3 linked regions of the Drosophila melanogaster genome follow. The protein of the gene in region 2 interacts with the protein of the main gene of each other region in a pairwise test. Each region holds a gene or a part of one and is shown on either strand. Other genes may lie near its edges.

Evidence for each region.
Region 1: the proteins of CG1690 (region 2) and eIF4E5 interact in a two-hybrid assay, tested with the Drosophila melanogaster proteins (one large-scale study listed by BioGRID).
Region 3: the proteins of CG1690 (region 2) and eIF4E7 interact in a two-hybrid assay, tested with the Drosophila melanogaster proteins (one large-scale study listed by BioGRID).

Annotation. Positions count from the first base shown.
Region 1 is NT_037436.4:7,890,757-7,899,907, forward strand, and holds eIF4E5 (eukaryotic translation initiation factor 4E5), read left to right. Parts: upstream 1-4,123; 5' UTR 4,124-4,282; coding exon 4,283-4,632; intron 4,633-4,689; coding exon 4,690-4,877; intron 4,878-4,930; coding exon 4,931-5,091; 3' UTR 5,092-5,253; downstream 5,254-9,151. Other genes in the region: CG32365 (uncharacterized protein), read left to right, coding at 2,479-2,816, 2,889-3,738; pbl (pebble), read right to left, coding at 5,968-6,096, 6,156-6,305, 6,366-6,476, 6,542-7,483, 7,547-7,897, 7,967-8,098.
Region 2 is NT_033778.4:9,753,588-9,763,572, forward strand, and holds CG1690 (uncharacterized protein), read right to left. Parts: upstream 4,482-9,985; 5' UTR 4,283-4,481; coding exon 4,228-4,282; intron 4,160-4,227; coding exon 3,816-4,159; 3' UTR 2,706-3,815; downstream 1-2,705. Other genes in the region: trpl (transient receptor potential-like), read left to right, coding at 2,143-2,172, 2,451-2,596, 6,190-6,427, 7,825-7,967, 8,029-8,401, 8,455-8,689, 9,136-9,409, 9,471-9,863 and 1 more.
Region 3 is NC_004354.4:1,155,045-1,166,755, forward strand, and holds eIF4E7 (eukaryotic translation initiation factor 4E7), read right to left. Parts: upstream 7,346-11,711; 5' UTR 7,242-7,345; intron 5,089-7,241; 5' UTR 5,062-5,088; coding exon 3,772-5,061; 3' UTR 3,555-3,771; downstream 1-3,554.

The sequences.
Region 1 (9,151 bases), on a different chromosome or scaffold from region 2:
TTTTTTATATTCTTCATATTTTTACACTATTTTACCTGTGTAGCAATCGAGGCATTTCCTTTCTTCATAGTTCCTCCCCGGTGAGGGCAAAATGTCTGCTCCATCGCAATTAGGCGGCAGAATTCTTCTTGGACGCTTAATTATAGACTCCACACTGCGAGTCGGACGGACTTTTCTATACATTGTTTTGTTCTGGTCTTTGGTCATCGTGTGTCTTTCATTGTCTTTCGACCATTTCCTTTGGCCAACAGCTGCATTAATTTTATACTTCCTCACAAAAGGTTGCTAATGGAGCTGACGGGTTTCTGCCTTTTGAAAACCTTACTGTTAAAGTGAGAAGCGCCAGATTGAGTCTAACAATTCTGATTGGTATCTATATGGTGTGTAATAATATGTTGGCCATCAATGAAGTGACTTGGGCATTCTGAAAATTCTTAAACAGGAATCCTAGGGGTACTCACACACAATTAATTGATTAAATCAGCGGTAAAGAATTTACAAATTATAGACATGTTTTTAAGCTTGGGTAACAAGAAGTGCAAAAAGGTAGAAGAATTCGTGGGAATCTCACAGTAAATGAATTTGACTAAAATGTTTCGATCTATCTTACTTATGACAGAATATAAAACATAAATCTAACATTACAAATACATCTGAGATACATACAACACCATGACTAGTTTTTCCCAACTATCTGAGATTTTTCCCAATCGAAAACTAGACCAGTGCACTAAGCCGGCTTTGCTCCCAATTGACCGAAACAAACTTTGAACTCGAAATCGACGAAATGACCTTCAACGTTCACATTGGATACGCTGAGATCTGGAGTCCAACCTGATCAGTTTCTCCCCTTTCGAACACTTTCAATTCGAGGCTATTCTATGCAACGCATAATCACCCAACGGATGCCGCTGAAAGAGCGAAAATATTTACGCTTTCATTTCGATTTAATGCGCTTTTAAATGAGCCCCAATGAAGTTGACTTGGAAAGCCGGCGGTCTTCGCCTTGGAAAATTGCAAAAAAGAAAACAAAGCAGTGACCAGAAAAAAAAAACATGAAAATAATAAGAAAAGATAAATATTTTCTGTAGCTTGGTCCGTTTCTTGTTTGGCGAACGGAAAACTGGGTTAGAAGGCAGGAAAACCGCGATGGAAAAACATTTTGGCCATTATAAATGAAAAGAAAAACCATGCAGGCGTGGGTGGAACCCTGGCGAGATTGATTGATTGATTGATTGAGTAGACGATGCAGTCGATGGGAGGGAACCGCATTTAATTTATGCACCGGTAAGATCCCAGACTAAACCGACCGGTGTAGCCAGGAAATGCGTTCAATGGGAAGCTGCTGGCAGGCCAAGCGAGTCCGAATCGGAATCGGAAAAATTCGTACCCGAATCCTCTCAGCTCCAATTGCTCGACGATGGCTAAAAACACTTTGGGCATTAATGAAATTAAACAAAGCATAACAAAATCGAAATCAAATACAGCAGCAGCAGCAGCAGCAGTGCGCGCCGGCAACAATTTCCACATCATTTTCAAATAAATCTCAGACACACGAAAACAATTCGTAATTCGAATGAAAACCTCTGGCGAACACGCAGTAGGAAAACCTCCGAAAACGGAAAAACGTCCAATGAAAAATTAGCAACAATTTCCAAGCGTTGCAATAGCAATAGCAACGACTGCATCGCCAACTTACATAATCAGCCAGACACCAACTATTTTGGCATCGTGTGAAGCCTCCCCAAAAAACCAGCAGATATACACACATATATATGTACATATAAACTGCATGCCCACCCGTTTTGGCCAAATTTCAAATGGCCCGGGAGGTGGGCGTGTGCCTGCCTGCCAGGTGATGGCAATCGGCAATCTTAACGCCTTTTTGAGGTCTCTGCCAATTTGGCAAGCGCCATAGACTCGAATGGCATTTGATAATTAGACAATTTGGCCCACAGAAGTTAACCAAAAGCGACATTCCCCCCCAATCAACTTGGCCAATGATGCTGATATGGCCCAAAGACCCACAGCACAATGAAGTAGAGAAATGCGCGCAGAGTAAAGGGGCGCGATAAAAAATCAAGTGAAAGTTTTTATAGGCTGATGATGATGCTGATGCCGATGCTGCTGCTCTACAAATGTTTGCTGCCAAGCAAAATCATTTACAATTAACATAAATAATAAATTAAAGTCATCGGTTCAAATGCATTATCAATGTGTCAAAGCAATGACCTGGCACATTGGAGCAAAGCTGTAAGTTTTGGAGGGGAAATACAAGCTGAGTTAGCCGGAGAAAGGTCGATTGAATGAGATTTACATGAAGAGCTGAAAGCTCACCTAAAATATGGGCCACACGTTTCTAAAGTTACATTCCCAAAGAAAGATACAATATCTATCTAATCTATCTTCATTATGCGTAAAAACTACCACTTATCAATCCCTAAGTATTCTAAATCACTTTATAATCCTAAATTTCAGACCGAAACCAATTGCGAGATGTACCGAGCGGTGATGGAGGAGGTGGCCCGCTTCTTTGAGCGCTACCAGTTGCAGCAACAACTCCAGCAGACCCAACGCAATGGAGAGCAGATTGCCCGCTCCAAGAGTCTGCATCATGTCCACGGAGTGGGCAACACCTCCCTGCAGAGCGATGCTCGGGATGATGACGCCTCCAGCGGCGGATCAGCTTCATATCTACGCGCCCGGAGCAGCACCAATTTGATGTTGAATAAATCAATGCATGCCATGGACGAGGAGCACAATTACGAGACGATTGCACCAGCTGGAAGCTATAATGCCTTCAAGGATTTTACATGGTAAGGGGAGATCAATAGCAGTGCTAATAATTTTCAAACAATTAATAACGAAATGTCTTCTCTCTGCCAAAGGCGTCGATCCCCGAAGAAGTCTGGAGGCAGTGGCGGTTGCAAGTCACGTCTATCGGCTCCTGAGGCAGCCGAGGAAAAGCTGAATCAGGAGGCCTTTCGTTTGGCCAGAACCATAAGGAATCTTTTGCACACCTCGGAACAGCAACCAGATCTCACGCAGCCGCGCCACTCGCTCGCTTCCATTTCATCGCTGCCCTCGGGAAATCACCGCCTATGCAAGGGGAAAACCAGTTCGGTGATGACACTACTGACGCCACCATTGCACAATTCCACCAGTATCATGAGTGCCACACTGGAGACTCCATCACCGGGCGGGAAATCAAATGCGGAACTCATCTTTCTGCGGGCCAACAACATGCGCGACTCGAGGCTATCGTTGCGCAGCTCCACCGACAGTTCCGTGCATTCCACCATCTCGTCGACGGCATCCTCCTCCTCGAAAGTGGAAACGGATGAGGAGACGCAGACACAGACCACCGCCAGCAACACAGCCATCAGCAATAGCAATAACAAAACCACCAGCAATAAGCAGAGCGGTTCCAGTACCGAGGATGAGAGTGGCTTCAGTTCGATTAGCTCCTTTCACGATGTCGGCTTGCCCCTGAGTTCCACCTTGATGAATGGAAACCAGCGACGCCTGTCCATGTCCTCGGACAGCAGGAACTCCACACTAAAGTCCGGATTAAATATGGTGGGGCTGCCCATGCAAAATCAGACTCAAGTTCAAGTACAGGTTCAAGCTCAGATATCAACCGCTCCATCGCCCTCGAAAACCTATCGCAATGCGAATCGCTACCAGCGCTTCTCCACTTTGTCCAACGAGGATGCAGCCGCTGTTTTATGGGTCTAGACGGGTGGATGATTCAAAACCAGCCTTGAGATAATTTATTAACGTATTTCTAAAAGAATTGAGAATCTTTTCAAATATGGTTACGAAAACCGTGTTTTTTTTTATTTTGAACACCCCGTAGCTGTTTCGATTTGTTTTCTCTAGTGCCTCCGCTTAGTGTTTAATTGACCATTGGAATAGAGTGCATACATTTTCATTTTGTATGTTATTATTTTTTTTTTTAAGGACCAAGCGCGCATTTCTATGTTAACAATATGTAAATTGATTTGTCTTAAGTTTTGCAGTATTTATAAATGAATAAAAATAATTTATATTAAAAGAAAAAACCAGCATAGTATGCTTACACCCAGGTGTCATTGTCATTTCATTTCCTTCTTTTCGACAGGTTTCGTTTAGGTCTAGAAAAATGTGCTAAAGTATTTTTGGTTATTAGTAAGCAATTCCCACTCGAATCGCGACAAAATTCGTTGAGAACACAGCCGTCAGCAAATAAATTAAGGTTACCTGTTCGTATCGAAAAAAAAAAAACAAGTCAACCAACAACATGGCCAGTGCACAAGTGCAAAGTTTTGATATTATGAAGCAGCAGGATCAGCAACATCAGCTGAATAGTATCCATAAGCATCATCATCACCACGAAGGTGTTCCACTGGAGAGCAATAGCCCAGAACCTATCGATGAAGAGATATACCAAGTCGAGTACAAGCATCCTTTGGAGCATGTGTGGACTTTGTGGTATTTGGAAAACGATCGCACCAAGCACTGGAAGGACATGCTAAACGAGATTACCGAGATTGACAGTGTGGAGACCTTCTGGAGCTTGTACCATACCATCAAGACCCCAGCGGAGCTGAAGATTGGATGCGATTACTCCGTGTTCAAGAAGGGCATAAAGTACGAATAAATCATTGTTCATTGAGAGATGCTAACTTAAATCCTCTACTCCCAAAGACCCATGTGGGAGGATGAAGCCAACATCAAGGGTGGTCGCTGGCTGGTCACCGTGAGTAAGAGTGCCAAAGCGGAATTGGATCAAATTTGGCTGGACATTCTACTGCTGATGGTGGGCCAAAATTTTGAATACTCCGACGAGATCTGCGGAGCTGTCATCAATATACGTAACAAGAGCAACAAAATCTGTAAGTTTATCAAATGTGTTCTGCACATTGATAAAAAACTGTATCTATTACAGCGGTTTGGACTGCCAACGGGAGTAACGAAATGGCCATTCTGGAGATCGGCCAGAAGCTGAAGATACTCCTTCATTTGCAATCGCATAGTTTGCAGTATCAACTTCATTCCGATGCAATGTCCAAATTCAATTCGGGCGTCAAATCGGTTTATACACTCTGAAAGCGATTGTTTAGGTCCTCTACGTTAGTATATTTTTATTTTTGTACACCAGATTCGTAAGTGTGGAAGATATGATTGGCTTGGTGTATATGAATATTTACTTGGAATTGCCCCTACAAAATTGTTCTATAGACTAAATTAAAAACCTAATTTTCTATGCGCAACAATTGCATCTTTTCGGGTGAGATTGTGGTAACTGTCGAAGTTTGTGTAATTCGTTGCCTACTTTGCAGCTTCAAAGCTAAGAATAAAAAATGCTTTGATTTAAAAATGTTTTCCTTTAATCATTGTTCATATATTAACTTAAACATCTTCATGCTTTGAACGCCTTACGACTTAGGGTCGTAATTGCCTACTCAAGCAAAATCGTTGAGTTATAATCAATATGGTAAGATAGGGTTTTTAAAAAATTTACTCAGTAAACATTCACAGCTTGTTGCGGTGTGGCGATCATCCGACCGAAAACCATCCGAATCGATCGTTCGGTGCGTGCGTGAATTCGATCCCTAGTCACTGCAATGAGTAGTTGATTACATTTAGCGACGCGACACAATTATACGGGCACGGGAGTACACATATGGAGAACTATTTACAAGTTAATCATGATCAATCGACAGCTCGGGCAAACGCTTCAACATTTGCGAGCCTTCCTATCGACAGGTGCAACTTAACAATACATTTTACAATCTAAACAATATTGGACGCTCGATAATTTGTTTCTGGTTGTGTTGTGAGATTACGAATTCGAAGCTTGTATATGCACTCGGACATGGGCGACCAATGCTCAAGGAATAGCACTGCAAGCGAGTCTCTCCAAAAAGAGACTTCCAAAATGGAATACACAATTTGACTGTGGAGTCATCATCATCATCAGCTCTAAATGCGGCCCACAACGGCCTTGTTTTTCCGCGTGGGTTGCACCGAAAGTGGCGGTACCACTAGCATCTCGGATTGTGTTGACGGCGAACTGCTTCGCATGCTTGCACAGTCCTCATCATCAACCTCCTATAAAAATATAATTATACATCAGTTTTTGTTCACATCGATGCTGTAGTTGTACACACATTTATATTCGTGCAGCTGGCCAAACGCATCTGGGCCAATTGAGAGGCAGGTGTTAGAGAGTTGGTGCTGCCAAACGGCGAAGTCATCATCGTGGATACGGCCCGTTTCAGTTTGTTGGGCGTTTTGTTAAAGGAGAAAGCACGACCCACCTAAAAGAACGAAAATTAGTATTAGAAAAGTTTTAAGCTGAAAAAGTTTTGAGGACCCACCTTGAGTCGCGTTTTGGCCGCCAGTTTAAAGGCTTTGCTGAGCGTGCTGACATTCACATCACTTATGTCCACCTCCAGTTCCTGGGAGGTGCGACAAATCAAAAGTTTGTCCTGCAAAACAAGAATAAGAACATGAATTTCAGAACATAAAACTATCTATGTATGCTACCACTTACCGCATCAGTACGGCAGGTGTGGGCTGCAATCTGGTTGCACAATTTCTTTACGTAGACCGACTTATCTGTCTCCTCATCACTGATCGTAAACGTATAGAGCTTCTCCTTATCGCCCCGCAAGAGCAAACCAAAAGCTCTTGGACTATCCGAGATGTCAATCACTAACCGGATCGTATTCAAAGATATCAGCTTGAGATGCTTATGCGTCTTGGCCGTGCTTGGCGATTTTGCAGTGTTGAATCCTTTAGAACGCCGCTTGCATAGCTCAATGGAATCGGAGAACAGGTACAGGACCAGGCTATCACCACGACCGCTCAGCGAATCGGAGAGCTCGTTCACCTCACACTTCAAAATAAAGCTGCGGTTGGAACTCACTAAATGCGCCGGACATCCTTCGATATCGTTGAATATATCGAAGATGGCCATGCGCGATTCGGTCCGCCTTTTATCCTCGTTGATGTGCAGTGTCACCTGCTTGATGGCCTTCAGAGCCTCCTCCAAACGTCCGTGGTCCGCATTGCCACTTGTCGTATGTTTCAATATATCATTTAGCAGCAGACTGATACTGGGCAATCGCTGAACTGGACGGATCATCAGATCTTGTAGACCTTGGCGTCCGCACTCCGGTTTCGTTTGATTAATCTTCAGAAAGGCGTGGAAACGCGGATATTCCCGATCGCAGTACTGCAGTTGCTCCTTCATCTGCTCGAAGAAGTTGACGTATGGTGGATACGCCTTTATCAGCTCGTCGCGATGTTGAATGATAATGTCTCCAATAAGACAATCCTCCCGCCAGTTAGCATGCAATTTCCGCAGATGCTCCAGCATGCTTTGGTGTACCTCGTGGATAGGCAGGAAGTTGCCAAAGATCGTCTTGATCTCCGACTTATTAAGCAGCGGATCATTGGTTTCAGCCAACTCTTCCAACTTGTTTTTAAAAAGCTGTAGACGAGTAGTAAAAAATAAATGAAAATAAAAACATCATTAAGAAAATATTCAACCTACATTCAGTATGGTGTCCAATATGCCCACGTAGTTGGACTCTGTGGTATAAAAGTCCATAAAGTGATTAAAGCGCATCGATTTCTTGGCTGGAGTGGCATCGCTCGCCTCCGGCTCGGCATGCAACAGCTTGTCCGACTCCAGTTTATCCGGACTGGTGGTACAATCGAATAAACTATTTGAGACAGACAATAGACCGGCATCCGAAACGGAGGAGCGTCGTTTACCAGAACCCAACGGAGTACCCTCCAGCTGGATGCGTTGCGAAAAACGCTTGCGTTTCCTTTTGTTAAAGCTAATGGGCAATGAATCCCGACGATCTGTGTTCGGTGTATTCGTGATGCTATCCAAATACTAAAGTAAGATCAAAAGTAATTCAATGTTAGTTTCAGCTGGTAAACAATTTAATAGTGATCTACTTACGTCGCCAAACAGATAGTCCATCTCATTGGCATAGCCATTCTGTATGGTATACCAGAACCAGTCTGATTTCAGGATATGAGTGTGATTATTCTTCGGCTCCGGCTTCGTCAAAGTCGTGTGCTCGTCAACCACCTGAACGGAAGAGAACATGACAAATTAATATCGGTGATCCATCGTTTAATGTGTGTATAAAAGAGATGCGGAATGTGCTAGATCGCAAAAAATGTTTTGTTTGCTGGCTAATTTAGATTATACGAAACGGAGTCAATCAAGCGTCTATATAGATGGTATATAGATATAGATATAGCTCGGCACAGCAGCAGCAAGCACAATAAATTTTGAACACATTCATCAAATGCAAAAAGGCCAAACAAAACATTTTTAGTGCACATTTTTGGCAGCACTTTGAAACGGCAAAGATCTTGGCGAACGAAACGAGGCAAAAGTGTGTAGCTACGGAACATTAATGCAAATTGCTTTGCCCCGAGAACGAGTAACATTTGTGTAAATATTTGTTAGTCCATCAAGAAAATAATAATAATTCACCCAAATGCGAAGAAATCGCTCGTGCTAGACAGTTAAAGGTTTGCTCGATATTATTCTCCTCTCCATTTATTGTTTCAATTTGTTTATCTACGCTGTTTTTTCTAGTTGGCATTTTTAACATTTATTCAAGCTGAACGAAAGTCTATAACCAGAGTGTGTGTGTGTGTGGGGGATTGTGTGTGTTTTGTGTGTGGCAAATAAATGTTATTCAAATACTTATTGTGCTGCTTTGTTTGGTTGTGTTTTTAATTCTTTGTATTTTGTGCGCTGGCCAGAAAAAAAAATTTGAGTAGACCATAGGAAACCAAAGTTATTTACAGAAGAAATTCCAGACACCGCACCAAATTAGATGTTATATGAGTTGTGACTTAAGCTACGGCATAACCATTAAATAACAATTAACAAAACATTTGGGATGGAAGGAGGCTGGATAATGGATGGCGGGAGGATTGAGGGAAATCGCTTCGCACAGCAACTGAAAAAATGTTAAAAATGCTCGAACATATTTAATTCAACACAATAGAAAAATGGAAGATAGTGGATCAGATGTTTAAAATACATCACACAATCATACAATTGGTATTTGAGAATATCGTAAAAGATGAAATATATCGCAGATGAAAATCATTACACAAAAGC
Region 2 (9,985 bases):
CGTATCCATGCGATGGGTGACAAATATTTGACGTTTTAGTCTAATTAAATTAGCCACATCGCCGCTCGGCCCTCGGGAAAGGTATAAATTTCTGCGCGTTAGTAGCAGCGTGTAAATTTCGCAGGTGGCACACGTTCGGGCTGCGTCGCGGGTTGTCTCTCGGCGGGTTTTCGCCTTCAAAAGAGCTGAAATTCAGATATACATAAACTACAACACACATTGTACGGGAATTCGGGAGTTCGGTGGCCAAACGTATTGTTATAAAGTATATGCCAGCATACAATTCATAGTCGCAGTCCTCTCACCTAAGCCGGTCACATGAAATTCCAACGTCCATTGTGCCAGCGAGTCGAACAATTGCACACGTTTTTATGTGCCGGAATGCAAGAAGTACGTATCCGTACGCTTGGTTATAAGTGGCTTAAGTGCAGTCCGTGAGCCAACTGAATTACGTGGCTATATCCTTCATTCATTGTGCTCCTGGTTGCTCCTGACTGCTCCTGGTTGCTCCTGGCAGCTGCAGGTTGCTCCTACCTCTTCCGTTGATTGTCAAGTTGGGGCTGTGTGTGCGGAGCTTGTGGTCTGTGACTGCTGGAGTTTCGATTCAACTGGCTGCCATCGCGATAAGCCCTTCGTTTTTATGAACTCTGTAAAATACTCAAAATTTGTTCTAGTTTTAATGAACTCCAGTGCGCTTGCGACAAAATTATGATACTTCGATCGGTGCCAGGCAGAATTAACACATCTCGGCTGCAGAGGGAGAAATTAGAGTGAAATATCATATGCATTTTACATCGTATGTTAACCGAATAGTTTATACTTGTTATAATATATACAGGTGCAGATATAATCCCATTTCGATGGGCAGTCGCAGTATGCACCTGCTGTGCAGGTGAACAGCTATAAATCCATTTATAAACGCTTCCCATGAAGTGGCGGATAAAACCGAATTTATTGCGACATTTTTATGTCCGTCCGCATTTTCGCCCGTCCTCCGCACTTATATTTCTATTAAGTTAATTAAACAATGCACCATCGGGGCTCCTGGGGTAGTCAGAACCACCTTTTGTTGGTACCGGAAGTGTTTTTTATGGAACAACCGCCATGATGATGGTTCCGAGTTTTTGCCTGCCGCGCATACAAAGCACTTGCATTTTTTATGACCAGCCCAAACACTTTTAAATGCATCTGCAGCATCCGCATCCATATCCGCATGCAGATCCGCATCCGCAGGAGCATAAAGCCAGTTTAAAGCAAAAGCATGTAGACGGAATGCATTTTTTCTTTGCGGATTATCGAAAAAAGCTCCTTAAATATTCATTTTGGCATTGTGTTCACACATGCGGAGGAAGGCAGCGGAAAATAAAAATATTTTCATCGGGTGTGGGAAAATATTGGGAAACAAAGAAATTAATTCTAATGGGAGAAACGATTGGCGATGATGTGAACAATCCAATGAGAGCAGCAACAACTAATACAAACTGCAGTTCGTTGCTAATGAGATGAGTGCAATAAAAATGTAAATCAAAACAGAAAGCCGATTGAACAATTGGTCATAAGTGGTGCAATAAGTGCTCGCGAATTTGGTGTTCAGTGTGGCCTTTGGAATTGACCAGTAACAGTCGGGAAACAGTGAAACTGCACAGTGTCTAATCAACTCACTAAATTGGCAAAACTTAAATCTTGCCCATGCAGATGGCACTTAAAAAGGGTTTAGCCAGCTCGGTCAGTGGCGGAAATAAAAAGAAAAACATTATAAACAGCTTAAATAGAAACTTTTTGCACGCCGGAAACCAGAAACCATAAACCAAGTCAAAAACCACCAGACACACACACACACACACCAACACACACAAGCACACCCAGTTGGACATATAACTATGGACTATACAACTATGAGTACAAAAGCAAAATCAACTTGAAAGTTGCATGTGGCCCGGCTTAGTATTGGACTTTTTTGGCTTTGCCATTGTGTATATAAATATATATGCCATATATGTAAATATCGTTCACTTTTCACTGCAAGTGTGCAAAGCCCTGCGACATGAAGTCGGATTTTGAACTCTGAACCCTGGACTTGGTACATGGAATACTAGTTACGAACTGCTGGCGTTCGGTTAAGTGAAGTGCACTAACTCTAGAATGGGTCGCAAAAAGAAGCTGCCGACGGGCGTAAGTAGAAACCCATCCAGGATCCCGATCCAGATCCGTATCCAGCAAGTAGCATGTCTTAAAGCCGCCAGTATTAGCTAAACGCCGCTTACCTTAAACGCCTCCAATGCCATTTAGATGGAAGCCAGACAATCAGCCCAGCATCCTCCACTTTGCACTTAATTTTCTTGTATGTTTATTTTTTATTTATTTGCAATTCCGCATACACGATTTCCCCCTCGCCACATCGGCATGTACGTATGTGGCTCCTGCTCACCTGTCTCTTTAAATTATGCCAGGTATCGTCTGGCGTCAGCCACGCCTCCTCCGCCCCCAAATCGGTGGGCGGGTGCTGTGTGCCGCTGGGATTACCACAGCCTCTGCTGCTCGAGGAGAAGAAGTTCCTGCTGGCTGTCGAGCGCGGCGATATGCCGAATGTGCGCAGGTGAGTAGCGCTTTTCACGCCTCCGATGCCCAGCAGGGAGGGGGGGGGGGTGGGTGGTGTTTCTGTATGGCATCTTGGGCGGGAGGGATACACTGCAAGAAACTCTTACCACAATCAGGTGTTGGATGAGCATTAGTATTCAAAGTTAATGTACAAGCTTAGCTAATGAATGTATCAATCGAGTAGAACCTAATGTATATTGATATATTTAGCCTTCAATTTAAAAGAAATAGTTAAACACACTACCACATTTATCCGAGTGTAGGGTGTTCGAATAAAAACCCTGACATTTTTAGAGGGGTATCACGAGCTCCAATGGTGGCTTCGCCCAGGGTAACACAGGTGTTGACTGGGCTGGGTCGCACAGGTACCATAAATCCCATCGGGAGCCTCCTTGGGTTCTTTGGATGCGGTGCTGGTGGTGGGTTCAATTATTTGCACACTCGTCTGCCGCGGGCCTCAAAATGGTTACCTAACTGGCATCCCGGCAGCCACTTAATAAGCAATATGAGGCCTTCGACCCGGATACTTTACGCTCGTTTACGGCTTTGCTTTAACAAATGTACGATTAATTCCGTTTGCTGGCAATGAATAAGAGATAAGCCAAATTATCCAAATACTTTTCGGTTGCCACTTAAAGCTGTTAACATGCACAATCAATTCGAGAAACGAATCTTATTGAAAAGCAACTTTTCGGATAACTTAAGTTCCCTTACCTGAAAGCACAACTAAACCTTACTTTTTGTTGACATCCCAGGATGTCATTTATGAACAATTCTTTATTGTTTTCATCGGGCGAGTGATACGGTAACAACAAGCAAATGAGCCGTGTCCGGGGTTCCTGTTTCATTTGTGATTCCCAATACGCTTTGGAGGCATGCACGATGTCCATATAATCTTGCATCTAATGTGAAATTGTGGAAGTAGTGGCGAAGTTAGTGCTAGTCTTGGATCTTGAGTCTACATGGAAATACGGCAACAACAAGCAAATGGGCAGTGTCCTGGGTTCCTGTTCTTCGTGTGATGCTCCTTGCGATTTTTAGGCATGCAAGATAAACCTATAAGCTGACATCTTATGTGGGTAGGGTGGCGAAGCTAGACCTAGTTATGGATCTTAAATCAACTTGAATATTGAGGTGCTGACGGTGCGATGTGGGTAAAAGTGAAAGTGTGACGGCTATGACGTCTATGACGGCTATTTGGGACGTTTTGGGAACATTTAAAAGTTGATAAAACGGTATGGGTTGAAGCTTTTCATCTCGTCCAGGGTGTAGCGGTAGCGGATGCCCTTCGAAGGCTCCTCCTCGGAGCCGTTCGAGTCGTCCTCCTCCTCGCGGATCTCAGAGACCCGCTCCACCCGGATGCCCTTCATCTGGCAGGCGCGGCGGTACAGCTGCTCCTCCCGGTCCATGTAAAACTGGCACGATACGCTGTGATTCGGAACGGGCGGCGGTGGGATCATGGGACTAGCCCCAAATGGAATCCCTGCTGGCCCATACGTAGCCGGGGCAAACCAGTTGTTGACCAGACCGCCTCCGGGCACCAGCTTCACAGTCTGGGTCTCTACAAGATTTAACGAACATACTTTTCCTACACGAATCTTCCGAGAACACACTTGGCTATTGGCTCACCCTTGTTCTTTTGCGCCATTTTGATCACCAAGCTTTGACCCTCGGCGGCATCCATTGGGTATTGAGTTTTTTAATCGTTGGAGCGTACAAATAATTTAATCGCCTAATATTGGGTGTAGTGTGCAATCACTGTAATCGCGTCTTGGAAGCGGATTTAGTTTCTTTGAATTTAGTACAACAATTTATGTTGACGAACGTTCGTAAAATCAAAGATTTTTGGCCTTAAACACTGGCAGGTGAAAACTAGTTTTGACACATCAACGCCAGGATAACTAGATTTCGATTAATTGCCAGGCAATGTACACTGCAGTGTTGGAAAATTTGATATATTTCGTGGAGCTCCTCCAAGTCCAAAATTTTTAACAGCAATCACTTCTCGATTGAAGTTATTATTAATAAGATAAATACAAATTTCACAACATAAAAAAAAAAATCTTCTGCCTTTGAAAGTGTACATTTTTCAAGCTTAGACTCCATTAAACAATCATTGGACTACATAACCGGTGCAAACACAATTAAAATCGCAGGACCAAACAAATACGAACCAAAAAAGTGATGGTGCTCAGAAGAAGAAAAATTACTCCGACTTCGAAACGCAGCGAGGCAGAAATTTGATTGTACCAAAAGGTATGAAGATGCACGTAAGACCTTAGCAGCTGAAAAGACTCTTCAAAATTTCATAAGAAACAAAAAAATATCAATTTTCCAGACCTTTGTAGAAGAAATTTCCAAAAGCCTTTAAATCTAAGACAGCATCAAAAATTAAAAAAAAAAAATACAAACAGATTAAACGAACTTGCAACGCATGGGCTCCAGAAGAAGATGAATTCCTAAAAATGTTGAAAAACACTCAATCCACTAAAGCAATATCACCCGACCCAATAACTGTATTGTTTCTACATACTCGAAATCCATTTGAATGAATGGACTTTCTAATCTATCTAGCAAACAGAAAGCCAGACTCGCGCAATGACAATATAAAACAATATAAAAGCGGATCTATTTAATCTGCTTAACAGAATATGGTTATCAGCTCAAACCAGAGATCAAAGCTGTCCCGATACCCAAAAAAAGCATACCCTTCAGTGGTTTCAAGCTTTTTACCTATGTATATGTCTCATAAGCGTTCTGTTTAAGATAACAGAAAGGCTAATAAAAATTGGATTGGACCACCACATTTCATGTAATCTCGTGGACCTGGCCGCTAAAAATGCATCGACCAAAGGAATTTTCACCGTAGTAAGTTGAAGCATTAAAGATGCCACGACTGAAATTCACTTAAAAAGACAGGGAAAAGAAATAAACAGAATTTTCTGCAAACAAACAGCGGCGATACTGCACACTTTTCTCAGGCACATTAAAAAAACTATGGTTTAAAAATCCCAAATGTCTAATGTCAATAAGTCTACAGAAATCAAAATAATTACAAGACTTCTTAGCAAAAACGCATTTGACAATTATACTTTAAATAAAATGACCAACTTAACGTTGATAACGTATCCCACATCTTATTCAGCTGTTTCAAATACAACAATTTCAGCCCTGGAAAAACCAAAAATATAAACGCTTACTAAGACATCAAATTAAAATAAACCTATAAATCTTTACAATCTTAAGTCCTTGGCAATTTCCACGTACACGAGGGTGGCCAAATAATTTCACGACATTTAAGAATGACGCGGTAACGTAAAACACAAAAAAAAAAAAATAAATAAATAAAAATTTGATATTAGTCCCTTTTTCGGCGCCCAATTGATTGGGAAAGTTTGTTTGAAGGCTGCGGCCGCGATGTAATTAGAAACTTGGACTCCAACTTTTGACTTGACATCGGGAATTCTTGGGGCATCGGAAATCTGTGCACAGGAGAAGAAAAGAAAAGTTATTGTGGACCCTTCGGTGGGCGCCTAGCCCCAATTAGCAGCAATGCCACCCTCTTTATTAAGTAAATTCAAATAATTGCAGGATCCTGCAGAAGGCGCTGCGCCATCAGCACATCAACATCAACTGCATGGACCCATTGGGCCGTCGGGCCCTCACCCTAGCGATAGACAACGAGAACCTGGAGATGGTAGAGCTGCTCGTCGTCATGGGGGTGGAGACCAAGGACGCCCTACTGCACGCCATCAATGCGGAGTTTGTCGAGGCTGTGGAGCTCCTGCTCGAGCACGAGGAGCTTATCTACAAGGAGGGCGAGCCCTACGTAAGTCATTACACAGACACCTGGAGAAATCGAATGCTACTATACCATTTAATTAAAGCAGTACAAAAGAACAAAGAACGAAGCAAGAGTTTTAGTAGCTAAAGATACTTTTATTAAGATCATTCTACAATAATTTGGCAGTGGTGTTATTTGTTTATAGCCGTTGCTGTTTTTTCTTCAAACAAATATTTTATTTTGAGCAACAGTTCAGATATAGGGTAAAAATTAGATAACAGTTTACCATTTACTTAAAGATATTATATTTATAATTTGATAGTTTTAATTCACTGAGATACACATTATTCACAATGGGGGTTTAGGTCCTTTATCTACGTTTGGAACTTTTTTTCGCAGTGTATCCTTTGTTTTGTCTGCTGTGCTCAGCTAATTTGTAGCCCACATTATCGTCCGTAGGCGTTGAGGCCCTGTAAGTTGAAGCTAACACGATTTTAATCAGTTTCCGTGCGAGGAGCGTGGGGCGTTTGGATGGATGGTATGCTTGGAGTGGCCGGAGTGGCCCACCCATCGGGATCATCTTCGCCATTGGGCACGTACTCGCAGGATCTCGACTCTCGAGTGATTGGGAGTGTGCGATAAGCGGCCAACGACCAAGAACCCCCACATCCAACCACATCCATCCACATTCGCCCACATTCGCCCACATCCGTCCACATCCCCTCAAAATCCAGTACATTGAGGACCTCTCCGGCATACGGAGAACAGAGGACAGGATACGGTTTACGCTTATTGCAAATAAAGTCGTCTGGGCTCCGTCGGCCTCATATTTATGCACACAGGCACGCTTCATTAGGCAGCCATTGGGCGCTGTTGGAGCGTGAAAATTACTATTGTATCGCATATGCAATAAAACGTTTAACAGGCTTAATAACATCCACAAAACGATGAAGACGGCCCTCTTCGAGTGGGCCATTGAGCAGTTCCTGGAATAAGTTTAGGATATTTTGGAGGAACAGCCACCGAGATTGACAAAATGTAGTTCAGTCATGTGAGGCAGTAGACAAGTGTATTAAGTGGAATTCCGATTTCTACAATAACTTTATGTGCTTTACAATAAATGTAAATTTTTTTTTTAAAAATGTAACGTGTAGAAAGGTCTAAAATCGATTTTCGTGCTGATTAAAGTAATTCCCGATTATTTCACTAATTGTATGCTTACTTATTAATTAAATGTTACGTGTAACGAACAAGTAATATCAAGTTGCTTACTGAATAAAATCTTTCATGATTATTTGACTTCATTGAAAGTAATATTTTTTATAAAATGTTGCGTGCAACGCACATCTGATATCAAGTTGCTTACTGGATATTGTAGGCAATACTTTTTTAGCATTGAATTATTATATATATTGAAGTGAATATATTTTTTCTTTCCACAGAGTTGGCAAAAAGTAGACATAAACACGGCTATGTTTGCGCCGGATATCACGCCTCTGATGCTGGCCGCCCACAAGAACAACTTTGAGATACTTCGCATTCTGTTGGATCGCGGAGCAGCGGTGCCAGTGCCACATGATATACGGTGAGCTGGTACATCTAACATGGGTCCCATATCCCATTATTAATCACATTATTAAATATAGTTGCGGTTGTGAGGAGTGCGTCCGCCTGACCGCGGAGGACTCTCTGAGGCACTCCCTCTCCCGGGTGAACATCTACCGGGCTCTGTGCAGTCCATCGCTGATCTGCCTAACCTCCAACGACCCCATCATCACGGCCTTCCAGTTGTCCTGGGAACTGAGGAACCTGGCCCTCACCGAGCAGGAGTGCAAGTCAGAGTACATGGACCTGCGAAGGCAGTGCCAGAAGTTCGCCGTGGATCTGCTGGATCAGACGCGCACCTCCAACGAGCTGGCCATCATCCTGAACTACGATCCGCAGATGTCGAGCTATGAGCCCGGCGACCGGATGAGCCTGACCCGCCTGGTGCAGGCAATTTCCTACAAGCAAAAAAAGGTATGTTTCTCCGACGTGGTTCTGCTGCTAAAATTCTCCATTTCCTGCGATAGTTCGTTGCGCACTCGAATATTCAGCAATTACTGTCCTCGATTTGGTATGACGGCCTCCCCGGATTCCGGCGCAAGAGCATTGTGGACAAAGTCATCTGCATCGCCCAGGTGGCCGTGCTCTTCCCGCTCTACTGCCTCATCTACATGTGCGCCCCGAATTGCCGGACGGGCCAGTTGATGCGCAAGCCCTTTATGAAATTCCTGATCCATGCCTCCTCCTATTTGTTCTTCCTGTGTGAGTATGTCGAGTGCGGTCGGTGCACAAAGCAAACATGAGCATGAGCTCCATTGGAGGAGAAGCCCACAATGGACAGGTACCCTCAGTGGGATTGAAGCATTCAGTATCAAACTTTTTCTATTTTAATAACTAATATTATTTATTAATGAACTTTATTAAAAAAGTAATTAAGGTACTAAGCTTAATAGGCAATTAGAATAGAAACATGTTTTCTACTATGTTTCAACAGTTCAAATGTAATCAAATATATTAAGTACCCTTTATCTTTAAATGTATATCATTACAAATCTTTGTCATTAATCAAATGTGATGTGAAAAACTGCAGGGTATAAGAAATAACTTTACTTTGAGGAGGCGTCTCCCTCCGATTAAGAGCTCCTTCTCCTTCAGCTCCCCTTATGATAACACACCGAGTTGGGGACTCATTGTTGTTTGCCTTGCAGTCATCTTGATTCTGGTGTCTCAGCGAGCGGACGATGACTTTGTACGCATCTTCGGGACGACCAGGATGAAGAAGGAGCTGGCGGAGCAGGAGCTGCGTCAGCGAGGCCAGACACCCAGCAAGCTGGAGCTCATCGTGGTGATGTACGTGATTGGGTTCGTGTGGGAGGAGGTGCAGGAGATATTTGCCGTGGGCATGAAGAGTTATTTGCGCAACATGTGGAACTTCATCGACTTTCTGCGCAACAGTCTCTACGTGAGTGTGATGTGTTTAAGGTGAGCTTAAAATGTGCTTTTGTGAAATCTACTTTATAATGCCTTTACTACTCTCCTCCAGAGCCTTTGCCTACATCCAGCAGGCCACAGAAATAGCAAGGGATCCGCAGATGGCTTACATACCACGCGAGAAATGGCACGATTTTGACCCGCAACTAATAGCCGAAGGTCTCTTTGCGGCGGCCAATGTCTTCTCGGCCTTGAAGCTGGTGCACCTGTTCAGCATCAATCCGCACCTGGGTCCGCTGCAGATCTCCCTAGGTCGCATGGTCATCGATATAGTAAAATTTTTCTTTATCTACACCCTGGTGCTGTTCGCCTTCGCCTGTGGACTGAACCAACTGCTCTGGTACTTTGCCGCCCTGGAGAAGAGCAAGTGCTATGTCCTGCCGGGTGGCGAGGCGGATTGGGGCTCACACGGAGACTCCTGCATGAAATGGCGCCGGTTTGGCAAGTAAGTCCAGTCAGCAGGCCAATTAGCCGCCGGTCAGTTGGTGCCCACTCATTCAATGTCCCCATATCCGTTCCCGCAGCCTTTTCGAGTCCTCGCAGTCGCTCTTTTGGGCCAGCTTTGGG
Region 3 (11,711 bases), on a different chromosome or scaffold from region 2:
TTCGAGCAGCAAAGACAAGACAAGACAGTCGCAGGGCTCCCACTCCACTCCACTCCACTCCACTCCTTCCATCCTTCCCTTGCTGGCCTTTGTTTTATTGCATTTCACTTTGTCTGGCTTTGGCTCGAAAGCTCGACGCCAAACCCATTTTCGTCCTCTGCCCCCCTTTGCCTCTTGGAAAATTGCATTTTATGCTCCTTCGCCGTCGCGCCACCTCCCACCCCCCATGCCCCCATGCGCCCATGCTCCTCAGTGTGTTTGTCTTTGCCTTAGCAGTTAAAATAATCATAATAAAAACAAAATCCAAGCGCACAAGCGAGCTGAAATCCCCAAGAAGAAATGTCAACATTTGCCAGCCAAGTGCACTTGCTCCAGCTCCAGCTTCAGATTCAGATTCCGCCTGAGCTGGAGCTCCAAGAAGCAGTGGCGAAGAGGCGAAGAGGGGAAGACTGAAGACTGTCTCCCGGGACTCGTCTGTCGGCTTAGTTGCCAGTTATCTTGATCACAGCTAAACAATCGATTCAATTTGAACTTAATGGAGTCCTGGCCGAAAAGTGGGAGCCAAAGGTCAGTCGGTAGGGAGATGTGTGTGTGTGTGTGTGTGTGTGCTGCAGAGGAGCAGAGACCTGGTATTTACTGACATGCATCCAATATTTGCATTTCGGAAGTCTGTGACTATTTTCATATGCGAGTAGCCAATGAACAAATACAGCTATTATATACTTCTGTTTCCAACGATCTATTGCACACTTTCAATGCGGCTTAATTACTACTGAGATTAAAACCCTAAACAAGTCACTTTTTAATGGAACGCGGGGTGATTCTCACTGATCCAGTGCAGTGCGTGCTGGTCCGTGAAAGACGCGTTTGCTGGATTCCGGCCTGCGGAGATTGACGCGACAACACTAATGATGTGCCTTGAGCCCAGTGCAATATGAACTGGATTATTGGAAGCCACATTTACATATGGAATGGCACCCTACGCCTCGTGCGTGGACGCATTTAATGAATGCTGCTACAAATGGTTGCAACAATTCGGGAATCACATGTCCTCCCACCTCTTGTTGTTTGCCCAGTATATGTCATGCCCATATAAGCGGGGCCAATGGCTGATTGACATATCGTGCAAATGGACATTGAACCCCCCGACTGGCCGACCGACCGACCGACCAAAGGTAATCACACCGGCCACATGACTTATTCAGAACTGGCCCAACTGGCCGGTGCCCAGTAACCAAGACCCCAAGACCCCGCACTACGGCCCTGAATTAGCTATGGCCGTATAATTAGCACAATTTCGGGCGGCCATGTGACCCCACTACACTAATACACTGACAAGAGAGTGTGAGGCCACATTTTTGGTGGGCTCTCATTGAACTTTGAACTACATATGTGTAGTCATTAAAATGTTGACATTAAATATTGTATCTATAGAATCGTCATTGATGGATTAATATGCATTATTCATACACCTAGCTAAAGTCAAGTTGCTTTTCTTTCTGTGTACTTGTCCTGGGGCCTCGTTCGAGTATTTCCATATGACATGTTCGTCTCTCGTCCGGATCCGGAACATAAATGTTCTGTCCTGTCTTGGGTAGGGGGCAGGGTGGAAAGGGGGGACGTGGGCGGAGTGCCTTTATAGATTATGGATTGTTTATTGGGCCAAGTGTCAGAATTGAGGCACCCATTTGTCCATAGCTGATGTGAGTCCTTGCCACAATGAGTGGTTTTCTTTTTTTTGCTATATCTCTGTGCTTAGGATACGGGCTCTTTAAGCTGAGTGATTAGTTCAGCTGGCAAAATCGATTGGGCTATTTCAATGGTTTCGCTTGGGAAATCAGTTATAAGTTATTTAATAACTTAACTACGCCCCATTTGTTTTTGCAAAAAAAAGAAACCGATTTGCTTTAACAGCTTAACCTAAAGAGCGTTAGTTTAAGCGCTGGAAACAAAAAAACCTCTTAGCAATCCCCCTTTGTATCTCCTAAATTCCCCTTCGCCAATGCGTGTGATAACCAAAATCAAGCCGCAGCCGACTATTTTGCATACGCAAATAAAAGTAAATAAATTGAAATTCGCCAGTGCCTTGGTGTGCCTCTTCTTCCACTTCCACTTACCTGTGTGTACATGTGCGTATATGCATATATGTATGTACATATTTTCCCCTGTGCATACAGCACACGCATGTAAATCGACGTTTTACAACACAAATGCCACCTGTGGGGCGGCCTTTTTTGAGCCCCATAGTTTGGGGTAGTTGGCAGCCTAAAGGAACATTTTCGTTTCTATCTTATTTTTGGGGCCGATTGGAGGAGGAACTCGTCCGCTGCACATAGGTGAGCGCAACGTTCGAAATTCAACTAGTATAGGCAAAGCTCTCATTTGACTACTGATATTTGAGATACATGCTACCAGTGAAGCCGATTTTGGTTCTAGTTTTGCGCGAGAATACATAGAATACTTAAATTTTAGAGCAATCCCAAGTCGGTGTGCGAGTGCCAGACACTTCAAATTTTTTTATTTATAGGACAGAAGAGAAAGGACTTTTTGGCAATTGTTCTGGGTGAAGTGGGCGGCTTGGTTTCGGCTCCTGTTCAGCATACATATATGTTACAGATTTTCCGTTTCGGTTTATTGCCAATACCATTGTTAAACATCGGACTAGTCCGTAAGCCCCCTTACCCACCATCCCCCACCGTTTGGGATCGCAAACCAAATCGATACAATGGCTTCTCGCTTTCGCTTTCCTCGGTTTTCCATCTCTAATAAGTGGGTGCCCAACTACAACGGTTGGTGGCCATAGAAAATCGTTAAGGTGTTTAATCAATGGCTCTGGCTCGTTGGCACAATGGAATGAAATTAAGTGCCATAAATCAATGGCGAAATATAGGTGAGCTCGCTTTTATGGTGCGCACTTGGGCCAAATCACCTGGGCCTTGACCTTTTTCGTGGAGTCACCAGAATATTTGGTAAATAGTAAATCCTCGCAAGAGTGGCTAAAAAAAGCTCAGGAAGAAATTAGAAGGTAGGAAAATGGTCACAGCAAGGCACAGAAAATACATTAAGCACATTAAAGCCCGTCAAATGGAAAAGTGGCCAAGAACAGCAACAAAAGGAATTCAGTGCCAGGAGAACGCACCTGCCTCCACTCCAACATCATTGGCTCCCCTTACGTGGTCACCCAAAGCAGTCACAATAAAATGCCAACTGCCAATAAATGCCAATAAATCAAACAATTGAGCACGGCCAAGTTGTGTGACGCCGTGCGCCAAATAAGTCCAACGGCCAATGTCCAATGTCCAAATGTCCCATGTCCGCTGACCGATGTGAAAGCGAACAAAAAGCTAGCAACCAACTTCTGAATGCCCGCCCCAATGGTTAGCAGTGGAGCAGACAAAGAACATCCAATACACCGATTGGAACTCAGGAATCGAGACAAACCATGTTGCATGTTCTTGGAATCGGGTTAAATTAGTAAAGAAGGTGCATAGTTAGAAACATTTCGCAGTCTCTCTCCAACACTCTCCAATTTCACACTTTAAAACAAACAACTTCTTGACCAAATAGTTATGTATTTATTTCGTCGCTCTATAGGAGCAACATTCAAATTTTTATGTACAACGTGTACGTGTACGGATGGTTTGACTAGAGATTTGGAACCCAACTAACTATCGATCGATGGCTGATCACACCTGCTTGACATTTCAAGTTCTTGTGAAAAAATACCGAAAATACTGAAAATGTTTCGATTCGCAATTGTCTGATGAGAACCTATACAGTGTATATTCTCTTCACAGTTGATCCCAGTTTATCCTTGGAGTCCTTGTGCAACTGATACTCCAGCACGTATATGTTGTCCATGCGTAGAACCTTGCGTAAAATGCGTCCAATTTCAAGGACTGTAGTCTGATTTCCCCCGTCAGCGTTCCAAATAGAGATCTTGTTCGACTTTCCGCGAATATTGACCACAACGCCACAAAGATCGTCCGAGTGCTTACAGGCCTCTCCAATCAGACAGAGCATGGCGTCCATCCAGAAACTGTCCAGAGCCATCTTGGCGCTCTTGGTCAAGTTGATGACCCAGCGTCCTCCATTGACATTGGCCTCATCCTCCCACATGGGTCGAATGCCCTTCTTGAACAGGGAGTAGTCACTGCCCAGCATAAGCTCGGATGGGGGCTTGATGTGAGTGATCAGGCTCCAAAACTTCTCCACGGTATCGAAGCTTGTAACCTTGTGCAGCATTTCTTCCCAACTTTTATTTCGATCGTTCTCTAGATACCACAGAGTCCAGCAGTTGTTGAGTGGATGTTGAGGATCCTCGACCTCCAAAAGTTCGGCGTTCTCCGCCGCGATGGTCAGATCATCATCACATTTATTGTTCAGTGACAGAAATTCTAGTGAATTGTCAAAAGCGACCACCGCATCTTCTTTTTTGGCCGGTGGACATGTGTTCTGTTTAATCCTGGGCTCGAGCCTCAAGCTCAAAAGCTTCTGCTCGGATAACCGCATTAGGACCTTCTGCCCTAAAAGATTTTCTTGTGTGATTATCTTTCCCTGCATATTCTTTTCGATTAGCTTCTTGTCCTGCAGATCCTTGTCGAGCACATTCTTCCTATATTGTGCACTAGTCGACTGCTCCTGTTCAGGGCTATTTTCTTTCTGCTGGACCATCTGTTTTCCTTGGCCTTTACCCTTCTCATTGTCATCATTTCCCGTCGACTTTCCATCTTTGCCCGGATTGTTGCTTCGACTGCTCTTGCTCGTCTGACTGGGAGTGCGTGGCGCATTCTTTTGATTCTTCTTGCCCTTCCGGTTCCCCTTGCCACGTTTTTGGGGCTCTGATGGCGACGTTTTGTTTGGATCATTCATCGGTTCTTGGGTCTTTTCTGGTTGAGTATCTTCAGTGGATTGAGGAGCTGCAGCAGGCTGGGTAACATCAGTTGGTGACTCCACTTTTTGGGGACCTTGTGTGGGATATTCATTGTTGTTCGCACAGCTTTTAAACATTGTTCTCGGATTGGCAAAGTCCCTCATCCTGTAAAAGCTGTTGGGAAGCATGGCGGCTTTGTTCGAGGTCAGCAACGGCTGTAGAGTTATACGGAAATGGCGAGGTTAGCGCTATGTTTAAACAAACAAATCTAACAAAAAAAAGGGTTAATATAATGGCGATTTTTGGGATCTTTCATTTTCGTAGCTTCCTATACAATTATATATATGATGAATCCACAAAGCCAAGCCAAACGCTCTTTCTGAACTTCCGACTAATGAGGCAAACAAGCCAACATGCCCCTTTTCTCTAAGACGTGAGCTGGAAATTTCTTCTTTGGAAGCACGAAAGGAAAAACTGACCAAGACCAAGGGACGTGTGCAGAAGTTGGCAACTTTAGCAACAAATATTTACACACCCCCCGAACTGAATGATTTGAGTGGGTGCAAAACCCCAAACACACGGGTGTAAGGTAACACAGCACGCATTTCTTATTAGCTGGGTCAAGTTGTGCTTGCCCCTTGGAAATAACCGAGTAAAAGCGTTTTTCACACGCCAAAATCTCCGATAGAAAAGATTACGATGCCTTGGTATTTACGCATCTTTTAAAATCATTAAAAATTCTCTACATTTACGATATGCAGCGGACGAAGGAATCTTTATGTAATGGCATCACAAAAGTAAACCACCAGGAGAACAAACTTTGATTTGACTCTGGCTGCCATAAGTTAAAATGGGGTCAAAAGGACTCGAATTTATGAGTGAGAAAAAATCAATCAGAAATTGGAATCAGAAACAGAATCCAAGGCGTGGCAAATGTTTGAGCGGACTTGGACTTTGAGCGAGTGTTGTGCTTTCACGCTTTTGGCAAGCAGTTTATGGCCATTTTATTTGACCCGATTTTGTTTTAATGGAATATCTGTGCCTTAACCATGGACTTCATATGTACATTTGTATCACTTGGCATGGGCTAAGAACTGTACAGATATGGGAATCTCCTTTCACTTCTGCCATACAAATTAGGGAAACAACAAAGGCAACACATTGCAGGAGGTTTTCCTTCTTAAAAGCCGTTTAGGGATCTCATACCCGACATTTCCAAATGTTCCTCTTTTAACTTAAATGACATCAAAATGAAAAGCAGGGCCAAAACAGAAACAGAAACTACAAGACGTGCGGGTGCACTTAGCGAAAGTATTACAGAGATCAACTAAATTTTATCGCGACAGTAGTTTAGATTATAGCATGTAATGAACTGCTTTTGAATCTTTATGTCACTGTACTTTGGCGATCTAGATTCATTTCAATGAATAATTTACTTATGGGAGTAGTCGAAAGCCACAATAGAAGGCACCTTGGATTTCTCTCAGTTCCCGCAAAGCAGTTTCGCCCTTCTCAGTTCCTATCGATGCAATTTTTTATTTGGCCCGATGCGATGTAAATATTGCATTAGACGGGGCCAAAGTGTTGGGCAAATTTATTGGCAGCACATAAATCGAGGACTCGCCCTCAACGGGTCGGTTGTCGTCTGTTGAAAAAGTAAATGTTCTAAAGGTAAATATGCACACAGCGAGGAAGTGGCACTCATTCAGTTGAACGTTGGAAGTGGGAAGGAAGTTGAAGGAAGGTGGACTACTCTACATTGGCATCTGTGCTCGCCTTCTGTGACCTATGACCTGTGAGCCATCGTCGCTGGCTGAAATGCCGAAATGTTGAAATGTTCAAATGCCGGCTGCTGACTGCTAGCTGCCTCGAAAAACTGATGAAAATGCAAAAATGTTGTTCCCAGTCCTTGCCTTTCCCCTCGGCTGCTATGCCAATTTTAATTAACAAAAAACATGAGCAGCTCCCTGTTGCGTTGTGTGTGTTTTGTTTAGCTCTGTTTTGTTTTGTTTTGTTTAGTTTAGTTCAGCTCTGTTCTGTTTTGTTTTGTTTGGCTAGTTTGAACTTTGTTCCTCGTATTCTTGTATGCCGGTTGCACTAGACGGGTGATGGGGTTAAGCAGGGGTAGCTCCATCCCCACTACCGTCAATCCGCTCAATTGCTCTAGCCCAACTTTTTGCATACTTTCGGGGATTCCCAGTAATCGGCGGCAGCCAATGAAATCTAAGCTGACCGACAGACAAGACATACTACATACGACAAGGAACACACTACCTTATTTGTAAACGAAGATGACGAAGGAGGAGAAACCCAACGAACAGTTCTAATGCCATAATTAATCACTACGAATTGGGTCTACACAACTTACCTAACGCACTGCGAATATCCGAATACCGCTTAGGTCAATCAAAATATATCAACAAATAAATCGCAATGGTTTTGTAAATAAAATTTGACTAAAACCCGGTTGTTCTCACAACGAAGTGTCGTCCAAAACTGATTTATATTTCTAGACTTACTTTGCTCTGAAAAATGACTTTTGGTAACAAAAGTCCGGTCCCACTTCGGTACTATTCTGCATTTTTTCCCATCACTGGGATCGGATTCGCGAGTATATGGCCTAATCCGAACTCCACTAAGCGCTCCTGGATTACAGCTAAAGCATTTAATTAAAAAATTGCATTGCTTTTGTTTTTGCGCGCTGCCATAATTTGCATGCCAACAACACTATGGCCTGCCTGTTTGCTCATATCATTAATTCGCAATTTGGCCAAATAATAATGAATATTTTCATCTTGTGTCGCTTTTTGCCCTGTTCAGTTCAGTTCAGTTAGCTCTGAGCGTGTTTTTGTTCACATTTGTATATTTGTTCATGTCCGTTCAGACATTCGCATTCAAATGTTTTGCGTTTTGTGTTCTTGTGCAATGCAATTAATTAGAAGTGGATAAATGGTGCATGAGTGTGCGCAAATTAAATTAAATTCTATGTGCATTTTTGCATTTTGCCAGCGAATGAATCGCTCTGAAAAAGTCATTTGGAGTTGAAATGCAAACACGGCATTCTGAAATCATCAAGCATTATGAGAATGCATAAACTGAAATTGAACCATAAACGCATGCCCCCCGCAAGCGGATTGCGGGTATTATCATTATGAAATGCTAAATCGTGTAAAATATTTAAAGAGTCGTTAGCAGTTGCATTACGCAAAAAAGCAACACATCAAATACAAACATCCCAATGCATCAAAAAGGCAATCAGAGGGCGGTTGTGGCGTCGGTGAGTCCACCTCCAACCCGACCAACAGTTCGTGGCCGACTGAAGCAAACGACAAGGATTTCCCAGGACCTGCTCGATCGAGCAACAGAGGGACAGGCAACTTAACAGACAACCGTGGAAACTTAACAGCTGTTGTAGGCAACTCATAGACGGAATCATGAAGAATATTGTGCCAAAATACAGCATTTTCTTTTATTGCTTGCCCAAATAATCACATGATAAACCCACAAAGAAGCCAGATATCAGTAATTTAAATAACTTTGGCACAGCTTAAAAGCCATAAATACATGCATACAGCGTTACACGCACTTGCACTTGCGGTGCATATAATAAGCCTCAGTTTTTGGAAAATCCCTCGCCTTCACACATACCACGAACTTGGGATCTGTGGATGGGACTATTGCCATCAATAGCCTGGCAGAGGGCTATCAATGAAAATCAATGTTCATCATATCGGGGCCGCACTTCACTGAAGGCAATCGTCTGTTTTTTCTGGCCAGGAGCTCTTTCAGCGGAAACGAATGCATTTCCTCGCGGATCCATTCCAATCGCTGCTCCCAAGAAGGCACTAAAATGGTAGGTGGGCTCCTTAAATGTACATTCTGATATTGACACACTTTTAATACACTCTGACCCCAGCGAAAGCTTTTCCTAATTGGAAGTTTTTCTTACTTTGCCTCCGATCTACGAGTAGTTCATCAAATATATCCACATTCGACCGCCTCTGAAGCCGGGCAGCACCATCGTAGCTGTCCAAAAGGAGTCCCAAAAGGAGGAGTAACTTGATGAAAATTATCACGAACAAAACGCGGAACAGGCGTGTGTAGCTAGCCGACATATCGAATTTTGAATGATTCGGAACATACCGTCAAAAGCCAGAGTCACCGCGGCCTCGACATCTGTTCAAAACTGGTGGCGAAATGTTTTCTTTATCCGTCGACTTGGAGCTGTGACCTTATCGATGGAAACTTGTAAAGTCGTACTGGAAAAACACTAAAGCCCCAAACTGTGTTCTGTGTTCAGATAAACAAAAACACTAAAGAAGTTTGCTAATTATTGAGCTAAGGGACACATTCAACCTAAGCTGAAAAAATTACAAGTAGAAATTCACTATTTCTACGTATACCCAAGTTTAATAGGTAGAGCAACACATCGACCAGGAAATGCGTCCAAAAACAGGCGACAGGACCGGAAACCAAAAACGAAATGCAGACAGCAACTAAAACTCAAGCAGACACCAAAACCAGCCAAGCGGAATCAGGCGCAAGTTTTAAGAATAACAAACAAGAATAGGGCGACTCACGTGTGGCTTCGTTGCAAGGATCCGCAGAAAGTTGGCACAAGGTGTGCAATAGACACCGGGAACCCCAGCCCAGTCCCATGCCAAAACCCAAATACGAGTACAAGTAAGCGGCAAAATACTGAGTGCACACGAAAACGCACCTGGGCGCAAATGAATGATGATGATGTTGCCACAACAGCCGCAGGCAGAAGCAGCAGTAGCAGTTTCTTTCACAAGGTTCTCAACAGTGTCAAAAGATGCCATCGCCGTGGATTAATATTGTGTGGATCAACTGTTTTACTTGGTTTAAGTCATTTTTGTTCGAAGTAAGCCCAGTGAACTGAACTTAAATGTTAAAATTGAAGCTATTTACTTTAATGCGCCGTTCTCTGCGCTTCTCAAAAATCCAACTGTATGCACATCGCAACGCTTTAAAAATTTGCTTACCTCTAAGCGCCGTTCTCGCGTGCCTCATATACAAGCATTGCACCGCATCAGTAATTTAATGACTTTTAAGCGCCGTTCTCTGCGCTTCTCAAAAATCCAAGTGTATGCACATTGTAACTCTTTAAAGATTTAATTACTTTTAAGCGCCATTCACTGGGCTTCTCAAAGTCCAAGCATTGGACCACATTAATAGTTGAATTACCTTTAAGCGCCGTTCTCTGCGCTTCTCAAAAATCCAACTGTATGCACATCGCAACGCTTTAAAAATTTAGTTACCTTTAAGCGCCATTCACTGCGCTTCTCAAAGTCCAAGCATTGGACCACATTAGAAGTTGAATTACCTTTAAGCGCCGTTCTCTGCGCTTCTCAAAAATCCAAGTGTATGCACATTGTAACTCTTTAAAGATTTAATTACTTTTAAGCGCCATTCACTGTGCTTCTCAAAGTCCAAGCATTGGACCACATTAGAAGTTGAATTACCTTTAAGCGCCGTTCTCTGCGCTTCTCAAAAATCCAAGTGTATGCACATTGTAACTCTTTAAAGATTTAATTACTTTTAAGCGCCATTCACTGCGCTTCTCAAAGTCCAAGCATTGGACCACATTAGAAGTTGAATTACCTCTAAGCGCCGTTCTCTGCGCTTCTCAAAAATCCAACTGTATGCACATCGCAACGCTTTAAAAATTTAGTTACTTTTAAGCGCCATTCACTGCGCTTCTCAAAGTCCAAGCATTGGACCACATTAGAAGTTGAATTACCTTTAAGCGCCGTTCTCTGCGCTTCTCAAAAATCCAAGTGTATGCACATTGTAACTCTTTAAAGATTTAATTACTTTTAAGCGCCATTCACTGCGCTTCTCAAAGTCCAAGCATTAGACCACATTAGAAGTTGAATTACCTTTAAGCGCCGTTCTCTGCGCTTCTCAAAAATCCAACTGTATGCTCATCGCAACGCTTTAAAGATTTAGTTACCTCTAAGCGTCATTCACTGCGCTTCTCAAAGTTAAAGCATTGGACCACATTAGAAGTTGAATTACCTTTAAGCGCCGTTCTCTGCGCTTCTCAAAAGGCCAAGTGTATTTATTTATTTAATTTCTATTGAAAATCAAACCTATTTTGATTCCAGTATTAAGCAGAATACGACCCACTGTCGGCGCTAGAAGGTGTGTTCCTTAGCTCAAATGTAGCAACTTTTTGCTCAAGCAAATTGCCAGCCTGAGCAGGGCACGCCCCCACTTTGCCCCCAGCATGCCCAGACCTCTAAAAGCACCTTCTTTTGTCTACAGCTGGCGGGCAGTGAAAGTCGACTGCAACAACTCCACGCTCGTGTCTCCGCCCTGTTGCATTTCACTTAGAATGCTTTTAACCAAAACATTAAGCAGCTGGTGTCACATTATATCAGCGAGGCGGAGGCGAGGCTTAGTTAGCCTGGGAGCAGCAGCCGCAGCAACATGCAACCAGCTACCAACAAACAGCAACCAGCAACAGCAGCAAATTTATGGCCCGAATTAGCCCCGCCCGAACTGGAATCCCACCCCCAGCATCTGAAATGCTGTGGCTGACTAAAAACAAGGCACTCAGAAGAGCGAAGTCGGCTGGGAAGATGATGAGGACGCCCTACTAATGAGCTGAATTATTTCACGTAGGGAAAGCTTCCAAAGGGTTATCGTAAGTAGACAAGTTTTGGATGTCAAATACTCTTAAATTCGTCCTGTTTCTACAACATCAAAGGCGCTCGGTGTGGTAAGTGTAGACGACTCTGCATATCTAATGATTAGTTTGCTTATCCGTTCGTGTCCTCCTAAAATTAATAACTATTTGCCCAAATATGCT